Linked DNA regions of Arabidopsis thaliana. The protein of the gene in region 2 interacts with the protein of the main gene of each other region in a pairwise test. Each region holds a gene or a part of one and is shown on either strand. Other genes may lie near its edges. The genes, in order: AT2G42490 and AT5G56220.

Region 1 (9,306 bases), on a different chromosome or scaffold from region 2:
CAACGCAAATGTTTGGAAAATCTTTACAGACCTCTTCGACTATTTTCCTCTGACAGCCTTGGTTAGTACCTATCATACATGTCTCACATTTTTCTTCCTTTTTTGTTAGTGGGGGTTCACATATAAGTCTATCCTCGTCCGGTAGTCAATTAATATAGATGATCAGTTCTTTGTCTTGTGCTGGCAGTATTATTTGGAACCAAAGTAGTACTTTTGTACTGTGCTGTCGTATTTCTTTTGCTAGTGTCACATCAATTGCAAGACGTTAGTATTCTGAAAAATGCAAAGAATGGAGATCTGTTATATATGGAAGATTTCATGTATGCCTTATCTGACTAAATCGTTGGTATTTTCTACACAAATTTTTGGGAATCATCAAATCATTATGTTTTTTCCCTGCAGGTTGAGTCAGAAATATTTTGCCTTCATGGTGGATTATCTCCATCTATCGAGACCCTTGACAACATAAGGAATTTTGATCGAGTTCAAGAAGTGCCCCATGAAGGGCCGATGTGTGACTTATTATGGTCTGACCCCGATGACCGATGTGGTTGGGGCATCTCTCCTCGGGGTGCCGGATATACATTTGGTCAGGTAATTACAAGTCTTACGTCTCAGAAACAGTCCTGATTCTCTCTGTTTTTAAAGCAAGTGTCGAATTGACTTTTCTCTTTTTTCATTTTGTTTCCATAGGATATATCTGAACAATTCAATCACACAAACAACTTAAAGCTGATCGCCCGAGCTCACCAGTTGGTTATGGATGGATACAACTGGGCTCACGTAATAATGAAACTATAAACCTTTCTTTGCATAGCTTTGCAAGGCTTAAGATTCTGAGCTCATTTTTACTGTCTTCCCTATCAAACAGGAGCAAAAAGTGGTTACTATTTTCAGTGCACCAAACTATTGTTACCGTTGTGGGAACATGGCCTCGATTCTTGAGGTCGACGACTGCAGGAACCACACCTTCATCCAGGTCTTTCCCCAAATCCCACATGTCTTGTCTGCTAATGAAACTAGTGTAGAAGAATGACCAAAGCTAACTTGAGTATATAAAATGTGAGTGCAGTTTGAACCAGCACCGAGGAGAGGAGAACCAGACGTCACCCGAAGGACTCCAGACTATTTCCTGTGATCACTGGACACAGACTCATCTCAATCAGCAGCTGCAGGCACCCACAAGTGAAAAGTCACAGTTGGCTAACTCTAGATTCTGGTCCTATGCATTGTGTTCAGGTTGCTCTGTTTAAAATTCAACTTAGTGCCCACCACCGGAATATAGTGTGTATTATAGGCGAAGAAGGCTTCTTATCTTCCTCTATAACCAAGAAAAGAAAAAAGATACCCATTATGAACATTGTTTTGTTGATGTTATTAGCTTCTTCTTCTTCTCCCTTCTGCATCAGAATGTGGTTTCATGTGAGAAATCTTCTAATTTTATTTCACGTTATTCGTTCTTGAACATCTCTGATTTTTGAATAGAACCTTGAAATTGTTATGTTTATTTGTTCTTCAAAGCTTGATATAATAACAATAGTCGCTGAACGCATCAGATCAGCCACTCAAAATGTTCGACTGTGAACCTTCTCTTGACTTGCAATCTAACGGCATTGAAGGCTTTGTTGTACTCATGGCTATTGCATTGAGAATGAGATAAATAAAGAACAACATTGAGACTCAGTGCAGACTGGAAGGAGCAAATTGATAGACCTCTAAATGAAGAGCTCAATGAGAAAGCTCCTGAGTTGGTGCTGAGCTGGATAGACAAGTGTTTTAATGTATAGAGTCGTAATCCAGTCTAAATACAAAGTAGCTGTGGGAAGTAGAAGGTTAAAGGTTGTTGTAAAGGGAACACATTCTACTTTCTCGGGACTTTTCTTTGGTCAATCAAGAATTGGTGCTTGTTTCTATCAGTAACTGAACAAAACCAGAGAGTATGAGTTTGATCTTTACCAAACGCAACAAGGCATACAAAGGCAAATCCATAGTAATGACAAAAGATATCTAAGAAATAATAAGATAAGTAATACATTTGCTTAACAACAAAGAACAATATAGTTCTTAGCCAAAAAACATAAAAAAACAATGAACAATATAGTTGAGAACAATGTGATAGACCAAAATCTTATGTATTCATTCATCAAAAGAGAACAGTTTATATTGGAATTCTAAACGTTTTGCCTACTATTGAAGGTTTCACAAGAAACAAAACAAACCAAAGACTAGAAAACAAAGTGTAATTCAATAGTCTACGTTAACATGACGTGTTTTCGCACCGAAGACAATAATATATAAACTGTGATGACAGAATATGGAGTCATGGACTATGTAAGGCTAAACTAGATTATGGAGTCATGGACGAATGAAGAGTTTTTAATTTCGTGAATTTCATAAATAATGTGAGCCTCGTAATACCACTAGTTGTAGACAGCGGTTCTTTGGTGGTCGATATTGCATGGATTATGCGGTCCACTCCACGATCTAATTATTACAACTATATACATATATTTATATATCATGCACTATATTTGTATTTTACAATCTTAAAACCATAACATATCAAAACACTTTGATTAGTAACTTTTGTAATTTTATAAGCTTCTTGTGATTTTTATGTGATAAAACATAAACGACACCAATTCGTTTTTTTTTGTTTTCATACATATTTTCTATAATATCTGTCAGGATCTAATAATTAATATACTGCTCTAAAAGTATATATCATATCAATTGTCTCCAAGTTTTGGTGAAACACCTCAAACTCAAGTTAATAAGACTATTTTGGTTGTATTCATGTTTTTTTTTTGGCTATGTTCCATTCTGCTTACTTCTTAAAACAATGTAGTGTCCAATAACAGCATAAACCTGATAAGAATAATAATTATGCGTGTAGAATTTTGGTGAAACACGTCAAACTTATTTAACAAAACATATATGTTTCATTTTTTTTTGGTTAATTTTTTCCCAATTTTTTTATTTTGAAATAAATTTTCGGATAGTGACATATAACCTTATGTAGTCTGTCAATTGTCATATTTTTCTATTTCCATCATCCTATATACTTTACCTTTGTTAAAACTCCTTAGATAAGAACTTCCAATATTTTCCTTACCTATATTTTAATTTCCAGTTTTATATATTTAGTACTTAAAAAATTCAAATGGAAAATATGTTTGACTCTAATTAGACACATATAATATATATTTCCAAATAGTAAATTACAAATTGAGAAACTCATGAACAATAGTGCATCCACGTCGTTATCCAAGTTGGATTTCTTTCTAAAACAAATAATTAGACCTTTAAAAAAAAATATAAATAGGTACTTGTTAAAAAGTAGGAGAGCCCACAAATAAGGCTTTGGCCGCTTCTGCTTGGACTCTCCAACAAAAATCAAACTCTTTAAAAAAACAAACAAATTGAAGAGCGATTATACGATCACGGAGAACTCAAGATCCGGTGACGAATCCAACTTCTTGTGACGGAGCTCAAGTCGAGAGAGAGAAGACTGTACTAGTAGTAGTAGCTGTGGATTTTTGTGTCATCATCGGAGATCGGAATCTTCTTCTTCTTCTTCTTCTTGGAGCTTCTAGAAGTGGAGAGAAGGGGGAAGATCAAGCGACGGATAGTGATAGGTTTTGCTGTATGTCAGTGGATTGTGTTGAAACTGATTTTGGTGGATTTGGAGAACTTGTGAACCCTATTCAATGGCCTCAGCTTCGAAAAAGACGTCGGCATGTCCTCACCACGGTGGCTCTCTTCCGCCTCCCAAACTCGTCTCCGCTGCTCCCGATACCGTTGCTGTATGGTCCGACGCTGACGATCAGCGAGCCTCTAAAGTTTCTTTGGAATCCGTTATCCGCCCTGTCGATTCGTTTCCTGATAATACTGCCAAGAAACCTGCCAACAAAGGTTTGATTTGATCGTTGATCGTCCTTCATTCTTCTGATGTTAGCTCGCGATTCGTTTGAATTACTTGACTTCTTGTTTACTGGAATTTGTTGATGATGGTTACTTTTTGTGAAATTGGTTCTTGTCTACTTGATGGCTTCTGATTGAGATCTAATTGTGATCACTATTGTGGTTTCTGTGAAGTTGATTTTCTGTTGTGATCACCAATGCAGGGATTTCTGTGATGCCAAGGACTGAAACCAAGCACCCATTGGATCCTCTTTCTGCTGCAGAAATATCAGTTGCTGTGGCGACTGTTCGCGCAGCTGGTGCCAATCCTGAGGTGCGCAAACTTACTTGATTCTTGACAAATGCAGAATGCTTGATAACATTGTCACTGAAACTGTTTTACTTTTTCTTTGGCAGGTTAGGGATGGCATGCGTTTCATTGAGGTGGCATCAGTGGAACCAGATAAACAAGTTGTGGCGCTCGCTGATGCTTACTTTTTCCCACCGTTCCAGCCATCACTACTTCCAAGAACTAAATCTGGACCTGTGATTCCGATGAAGCTCCCTCCAAGGCGAGCTAGACTTGTTGTTTACAACCAAAAGTCTAATGAGACAAGTGTATGGATTGTGGCATTGTCTGAAGTTCATGCTGTCACTCGGGGTGGACATCACAGGGGAAGAGTTGTTTCCTCACAAGTTATACCTGATGTTCAGCCACCCATGGTATGTTAAACTATGTTTTAAGGAATTGGATCTCTAAGTGACTTTTAGATGCTACCGTTGTTTGCCAGTCTCTAAGTTTAGATTCTTTTGATTTTAGGATGCGGCTGAATATGCTGAATGTGAAGCGATTGTCAAAGACTTCCCACCATTCATAGAGGCAATGAAGAGGAGAGGTATTGAAGACATGGATCTAGTGATGGTTGATCCCTGGTATGTTAACAACATCATCGTTTCTGTTGACAATTAAGGTGTACTTCTTCTCTGAGCCTACCTCTTAATGTATTGTGCAGGTGTGTGGGTTATCACAGTGAGGCTGACGCTCCTAGTCGTAGGCTTGCAAAGCCCCTTATATACTGTCGGACTGATAGTGATTCCCCTATGGAAAATGGATATGCTCGTCCAGTTGAGGGCATTTATGTACTTGTAGACATGCAAAACATGGTGGTGATTGAATTTGAAGACCGTAAGTTTGTGCCACTCCCCCCACCTGACCCTTTGAGGAATTATACCCCAGGTGAAAGTAGAGGGGGTGTTGATAGAAGTGATGTTAAGCCTCTCCAGATTATTCAGCCTGAAGGTCCAAGTTTTCGTGTAAGGGGTTACTTTGTCGAGTGGCAGAAGGTAGATTTCCAGTAATAGCCTACTTGAAACCAAGTGATTATGCTTAAGCTTATTTCTAAATTGGCTCAACATTTTGTTTACAGTGGAACTTTCGTATTGGATTCACTCCAAGGGAAGGTTTAGTCATACATTCGGTAGCATATGTTGATGGCAGTCGAGGTCGAAGGCCTGTTGCACACAGGCTAAGTTTTGTGGAAATGGTTGTGCCTTATGGCGATCCTAATGAGCCACATTACAGGAAAAATGCTTTTGATGCAGGGGAGGATGGTCTCGGGAAAAACGCACATTCGCTTAAGAAGGTTTGACATCAGTTTTTTTTTTGGTGTTCTTACCACTCAGATCTCAGTTTGTGTTTAACAATCGGTTTTTATAGGGGTGTGACTGTCTGGGATCTATCAAGTACTTCGATGCCCATTTCACAAATTTCACTGGAGGAGTTGAAACAATTGAGAACTGTGTTTGCTTGCATGAAGAAGATCATGGGATTTTGTGGAAACATCAGGACTGGAGAACAGGATTAGCCGAAGTGCGAAGATCTAGGAGACTAACTGTCTCTTTTCTATGTACTGTTGCCAACTACGAGTATGGGTTTTACTGGCACTTCTACCAGGTTAGTGGAATACGTGATTCTTCATTTCTTGAGTAAAGCAGATATTAGTCATATTTGCATCTAATTTCTATAGGGAAGACAAATGATGTGTCTCCGCATGAGAATAAATCCTGAGTTTAGTGGCACTTTGCTTGTGATTTTTCACTTGAGGACATTGATTTACAGTGCTGAATCCGAGTTTCATTTGTTTTCTGATTTGTAGTTTCATCTTTCTAGATATTTGAAGACCAATATCATTTTATGTCTTGAATGTCTTACTGTAGGATGGGAAAATCGAAGCTGAAGTAAAACTTACTGGTATCCTCAGTTTAGGAGCTCTGCAGCCAGGTGAAACTCGAAAGTACGGTACTACTATTGCTCCTGGGTTGTATGCACCAGTCCATCAACATTTCTTTATCGCTCGCATGGATATGTCTGTTGACTGTAAACCTGCTGAAGCTTTTAATCAGGTACCTTTTTATGATGCTGCTCTTCTTCTTGTTATTTACTTACATATGCGGATTATTTTCTCAGTATTTAGGAATGGCATTGGTAGCATATGAATTTTAGAAGTCCCTATAGTTCTTGAAAAAAAATCTTAGATACATGTTGTCAGCTGGTTTTGCTCAATAGTCAGCTTAATCCACTTTTATCTGTAGGTAGTTGAGGTAAATGTTAGAGTTGACGAGCGAGGTGAGAACAATGTCCACAACAATGCGTTTTATGCGGAAGAGAAGTTACTTAAATCTGAGGCAGTGGCGATGCGTGACTGTGACCCTCTTTCTGCTCGCCATTGGATTGTAAGCAAAAACCGTACCTTGCATGTTCTCGTCCATTTATTGCATGTTTAACTTTCACATTGTCAGTGCTCGTACCCGTCTCTGTAATATCCTTGTTTATATTTCTTTCATCCTTGACTATCTACTAGTCTCATCCTTGAGACTGGATTTGGGATAAGAGATCACCTGAGCATCCCTAAGTTTCAGTCATGTGTTTATATAGTCTCATACTTGAGTTCCTTTACCAAAAAATCATCTCAGAGTTTCATTGAATATGATTTGTAGCTGAAGTATAGATGGTATACTCACGCAAGATGTATATTCAACACAAATCATTGTAATGTGTTATCAGGTAAGGAACACAAGGACTGTAAACAGGACGGGCCAATTAACGGGATACAAACTTGTTCCGGGTTCAAATTGTTTGCCATTAGCTCGACCCGAGGCGAAGTTTCTAAGAAGAGCCGCTTTCCTGAAGCATAATCTCTGGGTTACCCGTTACGCCCCAGACGAGAAGTTTCCTGGAGGAGAATTCCCAAACCAAAACCCACGGGCTGGTGAAGGTCTTGCCACATGGGTGAAACAGAATCGCTCCTTGGAAGAATCTGACGTCGTTCTTTGGTCTGTATCCTTGTTTTACTTATCTGATTCAGTTAAAAACTACTACTTACCAAATTATGTGACTTTCAATGTGGAATTTTCATTTGTCACCAGGTACGTGTTTGGGATCACACATGTTCCTAGACTTGAAGATTGGCCGGTTATGCCCGTCGAACATATTGGTTTCACACTAATGGTAAGTTAAATCTTTGACTGTAACTTTCAATGGAAAAAAAACCTTACAAAGGATTGGTTAAAAAATGTTTTGGGTTTTGGGTAAAATACAGCCACATGGATTTTTCAACTGCTCACCGGCAGTAGATGTGCCACCGAATCCATGCGAATTGGAGACTAAGGAGAGTGAAGTCAAAGAGGTTGTAGCACCGAAAGCTCTTCAGACTGGTTTACTTTCAAAGCTTTGAAGAATATGAATATCATTTGTTTTCTTTCTTTGATCTCTTAAAAAATTGGAGGCGTTGCTGTTGGTTAAGAACAATTTCATATTTGAATCTTTTATTTTCGTGTTTGGTGTGTGTGTTTGCAAGACTAAAAAGACCTTTGTCATTGGAATATTTCTATTAAAATTTCATATTTGAATCTTTTATTTTCGTGTTTGGTGTGTGTGTTCTTCTATGAATTGCATTAGTTTCATACTTTGGAAAAGAGAAGCAAATAAATATAAACATTGGAAGAGAGGAGCAACATCTCTACTATTTTCATTTTATAAGCCAATCAGAGCGCTCCATGTCATACCCCATTCTCACCTTTTACGTGATTTCACACCCACTCTCACTAATCGCGTGTTGAGGGCGTGTCTACGTTTTCTGAGGGTTCTAACCCACCAAATGGCTTGTTTTGAAACACACTCGCTCTTTTTTAAAAAAGCCTCGAGTGCGTGATTTCAGTGTTTTTCTCCTTTAATTCCAATTCAAACCCAACCGAAATCAATTGAATTTTTCAAAACCATGTAAATCGAACCGAAATTAAAAACACAAACGACAAACTAGCAATTGTCACTTCCACAATTGATCCAACTCCGACGAACCAGATTGATAATTTTGATTCGATTCCACACAGATAACATATAGTCCAAACCAAATGCAATTCATATAGCCTAAAAATCTTAGCTAAAACCCAAAGAAAAACACTGGAGTTACCTGTTGCATAAGTAGCACTGCTCTTGCCCACATATATGTAGCAGAGACGAGATGGCTCCAAGTCCCATGGAGTCGCTCTTGCCACAAATCAATTCACAAATTAAGAAATTGAGCTCAGAAAATTTCAGAAGAATTCTCGATCATAACATTATGCGGTGGTGGTGGCTGTGAATAGCCGACAGAAGTTGCTACGGTGGGTCTCATAAGAAATTGATTCGGCATCGCCGCCGGTTTCACGGTCCACATAGTAACTCCGATTTGCTTGTGCGGATTTTATTAGCCCTTCTCTCTCCCTTTTTCGTGGTGATGGTGAATCCAGTCTCACATATGACATATCTACCGAAAAGAGAAAACAAGTGAAAAATGAAAAGAAGTCATTTGCCCACTTTGAAAACAATTATTGAAGTTTAAAGAATGGGCTATGGCCCAACAGAAAAAATAGAGGAAAAATTGGGAGGAATGAATCATTAAACGTGGGTTTAGGTGGGTCAAGACACAAACAACTAACCAATTAAGCCAACCAAACCATAATAGTTCATGTTCAAATGATTCATTGCTCCCATTTTTATGCGGGGTCAGCTGACCCACCTTTCTTCCACGGGTCTGCCCCCGCCACAACCAACAGACTTCTGAGAAGATTCTCCTTAATTAATTGAAAATGTAAAATTTATTTTAGTAGAAAAAGTATAATATTGTAGAATTTTTTTATTTTTTTTCATTAGTAGATAAAGTAAAATTTGTTTTTTACTTAGATATTAACGAAGAGAGGAATGATTATCTATTTCTTTATTTGGAGGAATGATTATTTTTAGTCTAATTAAGTATTGGTTTATCAATTATTTTATTTATTGATTTATTTGTCAGTTTTGTTTTTGAGCTAGGGTTTTGAGAAGGTTTTTCTTGTTCTATAAAAAGAGGACTTTTATGCGTGAAA
Region 2 (8,346 bases):
GTGGTTGACTTAAAAAGTCGTTAGAAACACCTTTCTTTAATTAGCCAGCCCCAGCTATATGCACGGGGTTGTATTTCGGGTCGGGTCAAACCGGTCAACAAAATCGGAAAACTCGCCGGGAGAATGACTCCTTCTCCTCCTCCAATAACCTACATATCAATTCCGCTTCCTACCAACGACGTCGTCTCACGATCAATCCATAATCTCACTACCGCTATCTCTAGCCACCGTCCCTGGTCAGAACTCATCTTCTCCGGCGATTTCTCTCTCCCGGAGAGCTTTTCCTCTCTTCTCCTCCGATCAAAGACGAATTTCAACTACTTTTTCGTCAACTACACTATCATCGTCTCCACGTGTGCAGCGTTCGCTCTCATCACAGCTAGTCCCGTCGCTTTAATCGTCGTTGGCGCAATCATCGCCTTGTGGCTTATCTTTCACTTTTTCAGAGAAGATCCACTTATTCTCTGGAGCTTTCAAGTCGGTGATCGTACGGTGTTGTTGTTTCTAGTCTTAGCTTCCGTTTGGGCTATATGGTTCACTAACTCCGCCGTGAATTTAGCTGTTGGTGTTAGCGTTGGCTTGCTATTGTGCATTATTCACGCCGTCTTTAGAAACTCCGATGAGCTTTTCCTTGAGGAAGATGATGCTATTAACGGAGGCTTGATCGGGTCTAATCTCCGATGATATTTGGTTCTTACCCTAAATTTACTTTTCCTTGATTGCTTGTGACATAAGTTTAATTTTTTTTATCATCAATTATTTTAGTTCTTTTACTTATTTGTTTGATTTATTGTAATTTTTCGTGTTGATATTGTGTTGGATTGAACTCAAAAGAGAAGAATGAATAAGTTTTTGTTTGATTTGGTCTCACAGTGAAGGAATCAACTTGCTCTATCCATTCTTCTTCACATGTTACATCTGATTTCAGATACAATGTATCAAGTCTTGCTTCAAGCAAACATATCTCACAACAGCTTTGACAGTTTTGTCGTGAAGCTTGAGACCAACTTGTTGATCTTAAAGTCACAGCTTTTAGTGTTTGACTGTTAGTTATTAGATACTAAATCTGAAAGCTTCAAGAGATCATATATTCTCTTGATTGTCAATTCAATACCTTAATAATCTGCTTTTGCTTTGTTGGATTCTGACTAACTTTGTGTTTAACCAAAACCAGATAAAACCTAAGCTCAATTTGTATGACAAGTCAGAATTTTTAGTCCTTTGAAAAGGAAACAAAACTGAGCAGTGAACTCCGGGGACCAGTAACAGAAGAGGGGAGAGTGACACTTGTTGGCAAAACCCAGACACTGATTAAATTGCATGTTTACTTAAGCCCATACCTATTTTTCTGTGTTTGTCTTTGGTCCCAGCTTCTTACACGAGTATTTGTCCTTTTTCAATTCTGTTTGTTACTGAGATTGTGTTATCTCTTTTGTTTGATTGGTTAACTTATCGGTTAGAGCTTTTTGGCTTGAGAATTCAATGCGTTTACAAAGAGACAATGATCAATAAGGATGTTGGTAATGTACATAGGAATAAGATTTGTTCTAAAAAAGGTTAAAAATAGCCATTACATGATTTGATGTCTTCAACAAAACTGAGCTTAGAGTAGTAATGTGGAAATAATAACCAGGAGAAATGTTTTTGTGTGTGGTTTCATCATATCTTGCTTCTCATTCTGACTAACTTTGCTAGTGTTTCTTGAGCAGCCAAAGTGAGATCATGGTTATGGCCAAGCATCACTGTCCTGATACTGATACAAGTCCTGCAAAGTTCCTCTCCACTATCGAAATGTCCGCCTCGTAGCAGCAGCTTTGCTCTGGTCTCCAGCAATAAAGCTTTCAACAATGTAACATCCTGCCACACGTATTCATCGACTTTCTTGTTAGTCTTCTTCTTCCAACAGAGCGAGCCTTGGCGCCAATCTTGTATCTGAGACACAAATGATTTCTCCACTTCCTCTAACACGTTGGTGCATACTTTTAGGAGCTCCAGCGCGGAGTTGCACCTTGAGAAGGTTGTGAAAGCTGTGATTGCTAAAGGAAGAGCTGTTCTCTTGATGTAAAGTACCATATCCATGGCTTGTAGTTGAACCAAAGGAGGTTCTGATTTGAATCCGAATACTAAGAAAGCTGAAGCCCATAGGTGATCAAGATTCAACAACGGGTTATCGATTTTCCTCACGCCTTGAACTGTTGCCTTTGGTGCAAGGATGTAGTCTCGTCTCCTCGCGAAAGTTTGAGTTATCGGATGGAACTGAATCCAACATCCAGGTTGTCTATTTGTTAACCTCGCTAGTCCTAATCTGACTAGTAAAAAAGCAGCATCCTCTTCGCTTCTGCGTCCTAAACCACAACCACCACACCAAGCAAATGTGTGACTCAGACACTTGTTCCATTTGCTGAACCGGTTTCCACCTGTGGGCATGTTCTTAGCAGCTGCAGCTAATAAGTTAACCGGTATAGGGACAGGAGCAAACCAAGCTCCCACGAGTAGCATTTTCAATGAGAGAAGGTTTCTGTTTCCCTCAGCTTGCTCCAAAACAGCCAAACTGAAAGCTAAAACCTTTGCAACAAATGGATTGGACTTGCAGTATTGCTCATCATTTAAGTTCAGAAAAGGCGAGGCCGAACGTTCTTCGATTTGAACTTTGTTTACAGCTTCAAAGAGAGCAGAAGGCAGAATTGCAAGCTCTGAAAGCAATGATCCAACCACCCAAAGACCATAGCTCAACCTTCCCAATTTCTCATCGAAAAGCTTGAGGACCTCCACCTCCTCCACCGGGTAATCTTTCTTTCTTCTTCCTCTCAGTAACACCATTGCATCAGACGAAGGCAATATAGAAAGCTGCACAGTGTCAAAGGTCATGACTTTAGGAAGTCTAGTAGTGATCAAAACATGTGTTCCTCCGGTGTTCCTCGGAATCAAATCATTTAGATCTTTCCCTTCCCACCAATCCTTCTCTATCTCAAGATTATCAATGATCAACAGATAAGGCATGTCTCTGAATAACTCACGCTTTATTCTCTTGAAAGCTTCAAACTCTTGTTCATCAAAGCTCCTTAGTCTACCTCTATCCTTCTCAGCATCTGCACTAACATCAAGCCCCAAGCTGAATGACAGATTTAACAGGTTCTGTCTAAAGTATCGAGCTTCCCCTCCGACCCACAAAACCATCTTATACCTCTGAGAATACCTGTAAGCGAATTCAAGAGCTAACTCTGTCTTCCCAATCCCTGGAACTCCATTTACACAAACAACACTTGTGCTACTTTTGCAGTTACTATTGTTTCTACACTTCTTAGTCTTCAACAATCTTTTAAGAGAGTTTTTCCCACCATTTGGATCACTCCAAGCCTCACTTCTTGAATCTGAGCATCTTCCAAGCTCCAAGCTAATAAACTTCCCATTTCGAGTTGGTACAACATCTGATTCCTCATCTGCAAGTCCTTCAGATTGTCCACTTGCTTCTCCTCTGGTACTTGGTGTTGTAGACTCAAGATACTCTCCATTACCAAATAAAGCCATCTCCATTTCAATGATCTCCTTTTCTCTTCCAAGAAAAGATCTGTTCCTCGGAAATGGAAGCTCATCAATCCCTTCCACAATCTCTTTATCAGCCACACTCTTCCTCCCAAGCTTTGCCCTGAGAATCGTCGCAGTCTTTCCCACACAGCTTCTCCAGTTACTCTCATTAGCTTCTAGTTTAAACTCATGAGACTTAATCAACCCATCAATGGCTTCTTTACACTCTTTATCTATGGCATTGCAGTTGAGAAGACCCATAATCTCAGAAGGACCAGTTCCATAGAAAATAGGAATCAAGTTCTTCTTTTGAGCAAAGAACCTAACTTCCTCCAAGCTAAGGTAGTTGAGCAAGCTGGAACAAGAGACAACCACAATCCCATAAGTAACAGAACAGATAACTCTGTCGGCGATCTCATGACTCTGTGTGTCCGAATACTTAGCTCTGTCAGCAACGAAACAAGCGATTCCCTGAAGCTCAAGCTCTGACTTTAACCATTTGCAGAATCTCACCAAGTTTGGGTTTTGTCCATGAAACCCTATGAAGACATCAGAGCTCCTGAGCTTGGTGTTAGTTGCAGGTGAAGAAACAGAGACTTTAGCCAAAGAAACCCTAGGAACAGGGAAAGAGAAAGAGATCCTTGGAGGAGCAGGATCTGGAGTACAAGATGCTGATAACTTGAGCTTCCGATCTGATGGTTGTTCATCAGAAAACTCGTACTGGTCAGAAGGAGGAGTGTAGGAGCTGCTTGGTACATCATCAGATTGTGAGCCTTTGTAAGAAAGAGGCGGTGATGGCTTGTGAGTGGTAATGGAGGGTGTTGTAGCTCTTGGGGATATATAAGGAGATTGCAAAGCGGAAACAAAAGCAGAAGATGGTGGGGACACAAGAGAAGGTGAATAGAAAGGAGAGTTTTTGATACTTGGAGATGAATCTGAAGCATTATTATTTGCTTGAAGAAGATCTTCTTTACCTTTCTTACTTGAAGAGCTTGCTGGTGATGAAGTTCTTATGGTTAAACCAACTAAACTTGCTTCTTCTTCTATTCCCTTCATTACTCCTTTTACTTCTTTCACCAAACACAAATTAAACTCAAATGAAAGCTCTCACCTCTCAGCTTCAAAAGGTTATGTCTTTATCTCTCTAACTTGGTAATGAATCTCATAATGGTGTTTCTCTGACAGATGATATTGAAGTGAGTGGGACTGAGAGGAGATGAGTCAGAACATGAATGCAACAGTTGATGCAGTTCAATGAGATTGAGGTAAAATCTGAGAAACTGCATGTGATGTATCTAACTCTTCCATTTTGTGGGGTCCCTCTTCTACAACACTGTTGAAACCCAATTTGTGTTTTCTTCTTTTCTTTATTTAATTTCTCCTCCTCCTCTTACTTCAGATTTGACCAACAACACCAAGCCAGTTTCAGAGAGTCTCTGCAACAATGGAGAGGTCACGGGTCAGAAGAAAAATCATTGCTTTACATTGAGTTTGTGGTCTAATGTTCATCATCATTAACAAGATTGAATCTTTTTACTCTCTAGCTAGGACCAACAATGAAAAAGCAACATATTAGTCAAATCTTTAAAGATGATTTCTTAAAGACTTACCCTTTTGTTTGATCTTTTTCAGACACAAGGCAAAAAAAGACGTGTCACTTCCCCTGCATATCTTTTCATTACCAAGCCTGTCTCTCTCGTCTATCTTTCTCTCTGTGTTTCTTTTTGAGGAAGAGCAGAAGATTGTGATAATGAAGAGGGAGAAGAATCTGGAGTTGTGAGTTGGATCTGAAAGTGCTTATGGACATTAATTTGTTTTTAAAATAGTGATTAAAGAAATGGTTAAGAGAGAAGCAGCCTGGAGATGGTTAATGTCTAAACATGTACCAATGTCATTTTATAATGATCACCCACTTAATCAAAAACCATTTTATAATTAACTTAAATTTATAATCTTGGATTCTCCTTTATGTCATTTGTTTTTAGCTCTCCTCTCTCTCTTCTCTCAACCTCCTCTGCATTTTCTGGAAATTTTTAATGAGTTTTTTTTTCTTCTTTAGTTTACCAAGAAGACTCCAGTTTTTATTTAAGATCGAGTTATTAGAGAAGTATAAATATAACATGGGTTACATTGGATTTAAGAGAGTTAAATAGACAAGAGTCAGATTTAAGACATTGAACTTTGAGCTTAAAAGAGGTTGTAGGATTGAAGAAAGGGAACCATTTTCAATTTTCTTAGTACTTTGGTTGTTTGTCATTTACTGTTTGTATTTTGTGGTCTATAGAAAACTCCAAACATTGTACTATATTGAGTATTGAATCATATAATACTATCATTGCTGCAATTAATAGGAGAAAAATGTCAAGAGAATATTTTACGTAAAACATATTTTGGGTTCTAAGTAAGTGAAATTCCTTCCACTATGTGATTATGAACTAAATTTCTAACAATAGTACTAACATAACATAAGTAGTAACCTAGTAGTATTTGACAATTTTTCTTATCAATAACATTTTAGTATATTGTAATTTGTAAGATAAACTCCTCATAATCGAGTAATTATCTTTTTTTTTTAATTCAAGGTGGTGCATGTATGTATGTGTACACTGACACAACATTTGAAATCTGATTTCACAGTGGGAATTGGTCCAAGACCAGTCCACTTGTGACTTTTTATTTATTTACCCCACACATTTTCACATTTATCTACAATCATAAGGGACTTTAAAAACATACACATTACACACACACACACACAAAAACAAAAAATTTACCATCAAAATCTTGGAGTGTGTGACGTATGAACAAAACAAGATTGATACTGTATGTAGAAAAGTCTCGTTATCAAACGATGTGGAAGCGTTTATCAAACGCTCAAGGATAAGTCTCGTTGTTTCCATACCTAAAAACGGCAACCACTGTATATAGAAAAGATGTAAACGTCAAAACTGAAGAAGTTAGAAAGACGAGGGTAAATTAGTAAAATAGTCGAGATCATATTAAAGTCCTAACGGTATATCACACACCGTTGAATTCCAGATCCGACCAGATAAGATCACGTCGAATCGAACGGTCATAAAATATCCGAGTAGTTGCTGAAGTATCCAGCGGTTTCGCCACGTGTCCCGACCATGTCGCTCACACGTTCGTATTTCTCTATTACAAAAAAAAGGAAACGAATCAAAATGTTTTTTGATCGTAACCGGGAAAAAAAAAACGATTTTTCGCAACGAAACTTTCCACAATCAACGGATATAGAGAGAGATCTCTGCGAATCGTTTAAATCGTCTTCTAATTTCGTTTCGGTCTCTTCGTAAAGGATTCACCTTTGAGTGGTTTTGCGTTCCATTTTATTAGGTACGTCAAGCTCGAAACTTTCGATTCATTGGCTTTCGTAAATGTGATTAATCTGGGAATTGAGTTGAATTTAGAGAACCCTATTGCTTCATTTTTGTTTTCGTATTTTGGTTTTATTGAATTTGCCTCTGGTTCTTACTGGAATGGTGGTTGTTTAGTCTTGAGATTGATCCCATGTGAAAAGTTAGTATTTTTGTGGCGTCGTCATGGATTTGGAGAGTGAAAGCTCTGTTCTTGAATCTGTTGAAGATAATAATGGTTTGATTGGTGATCTTGATAAAGAGTTGAATTCACCGGTTGAGACTTCTCCTCTTATATCAAAAGGATTTGGTTTAAGAAAATGGAAGAGGAGGTTAAGGAGAGATCTTGTTAAGGATGATACTTCTGTGAGTATGGAGAATAGTAAAGCTCTGAAGAGGGTGTTGTCAGGATTAGTTGATCCGAATGCTAAACAAATGCATTTGCCAGGACCTGAAGTTAGACAAGATAGTGTTGGTTCTGTTGGCTCGGTGAATAGTGTGGTTGGTTTTGTAATGGGTGGGGAGAGTTATGGCAATGGTCTTGCTTTTGCAGCTGGTGTTGATTCGGATAACAGTGAGGATCGGAGTAGTACAATGAGTCATTCTTGGGACAAACATAGAGGAAAGGTCTCGGGTGGGAAGAGTGTGATTAGTTCGGGGGATAGTAGTCAACAAAGGAAGAGTAGTGTAGAGAAGAGTAATAAACTTAGAGGAGAAAGGATCAAAATTGAGAAGGAAAACTCTCATTCCAGCATGGAATCTGCTGACTCAAGAAGCTCCAACTTTGTGTTTATGCAGGGTGCTTCCTATAGTTTGAGTAGCAGAGAACAAGGCGGAAGAAGAATGATGGATTATGACGATGAAAATAGTGATCATGACGCACATACTTCGAAGAGAAAGGATAACGTGGAAGAAGAAGAAGAAGAAACAGAAGACTATTCACAAGGAGACTGTGTTGAAGAGTCTCAAATCAAGAGCAATGGTTCATCAGACAATCTGGATCCATTAATAGTAGCCGTCAACAGTTTCCAGACTTTGCAAGAAGCCCTCCAAAAAGGTATCAATTTCATAAATACAGATTTTCATTTGGAATTTGATTGTTGCTGCATTGTAGTAGTCCTAATCAACTAAAACTTGAATGACTCTAACACTGGTTCCTTATGATGCCGTGTAATATTAACATGATTGTGTTTCGAGTTTGACTAAACTCCTGTTCTTTTTCCCTTTTCAGAACTTCAAAAATTCCAAGAGCTTGGGAAAGAAGAACCTATAACATCACTGCATGATGGAGGAGAAAGCAGCAGTTGCATACACGCAGGACACGAAGGAGCTAGTGAAGCAAGCTCTTCTTACCGGTTTGGGTCTGAAAAGATGGGAGAAATGGAATTAACTTCTCTAGATTCCGAGATACTAAACCTGGTGAACAATGTAGAGCATCTGGAGA

What was found.
Region 1: the proteins of AT5G56220 (region 2) and AT2G42490 interact in a two-hybrid assay, tested with the Arabidopsis thaliana proteins (one large-scale study listed by BioGRID).

The regions. Positions count from the first base shown.
Region 1 is NC_003071.7:17,689,931-17,699,236, reverse strand, and holds AT2G42490 (Copper amine oxidase family protein), read left to right. Parts: upstream 1-3,213; 5' UTR 3,214-3,710; coding exon 3,711-3,915; intron 3,916-4,127; coding exon 4,128-4,237; intron 4,238-4,320; coding exon 4,321-4,626; intron 4,627-4,723; coding exon 4,724-4,836; intron 4,837-4,916; coding exon 4,917-5,247; intron 5,248-5,330; coding exon 5,331-5,546; intron 5,547-5,620; coding exon 5,621-5,857; intron 5,858-6,120; coding exon 6,121-6,306; intron 6,307-6,495; coding exon 6,496-6,636; intron 6,637-6,967; coding exon 6,968-7,236; intron 7,237-7,329; coding exon 7,330-7,411; intron 7,412-7,502; coding exon 7,503-7,637; 3' UTR 7,638-7,830; downstream 7,831-9,306. Other genes in the region: PP2A-3 (protein phosphatase 2A-3), read left to right, coding at 1-61, 403-594, 694-783, 872-979, 1,073-1,138.
Region 2 is NC_003076.8:22,751,106-22,759,451, reverse strand, and holds AT5G56220 (P-loop containing nucleoside triphosphate hydrolases superfamily protein), read right to left. Parts: upstream 5,480-8,346; 5' UTR 5,136-5,479; exon of another isoform or gene 4,962-5,135; 5' UTR 4,582-4,961; coding exon 1,660-4,581; 3' UTR 1,395-1,659; downstream 1-1,394. Other genes in the region: PRA1.G2 (prenylated RAB acceptor 1.G2), read left to right, coding at 124-684; WIP2 (WPP domain interacting protein 2), read left to right, coding at 7,089-7,959, 8,134-8,346.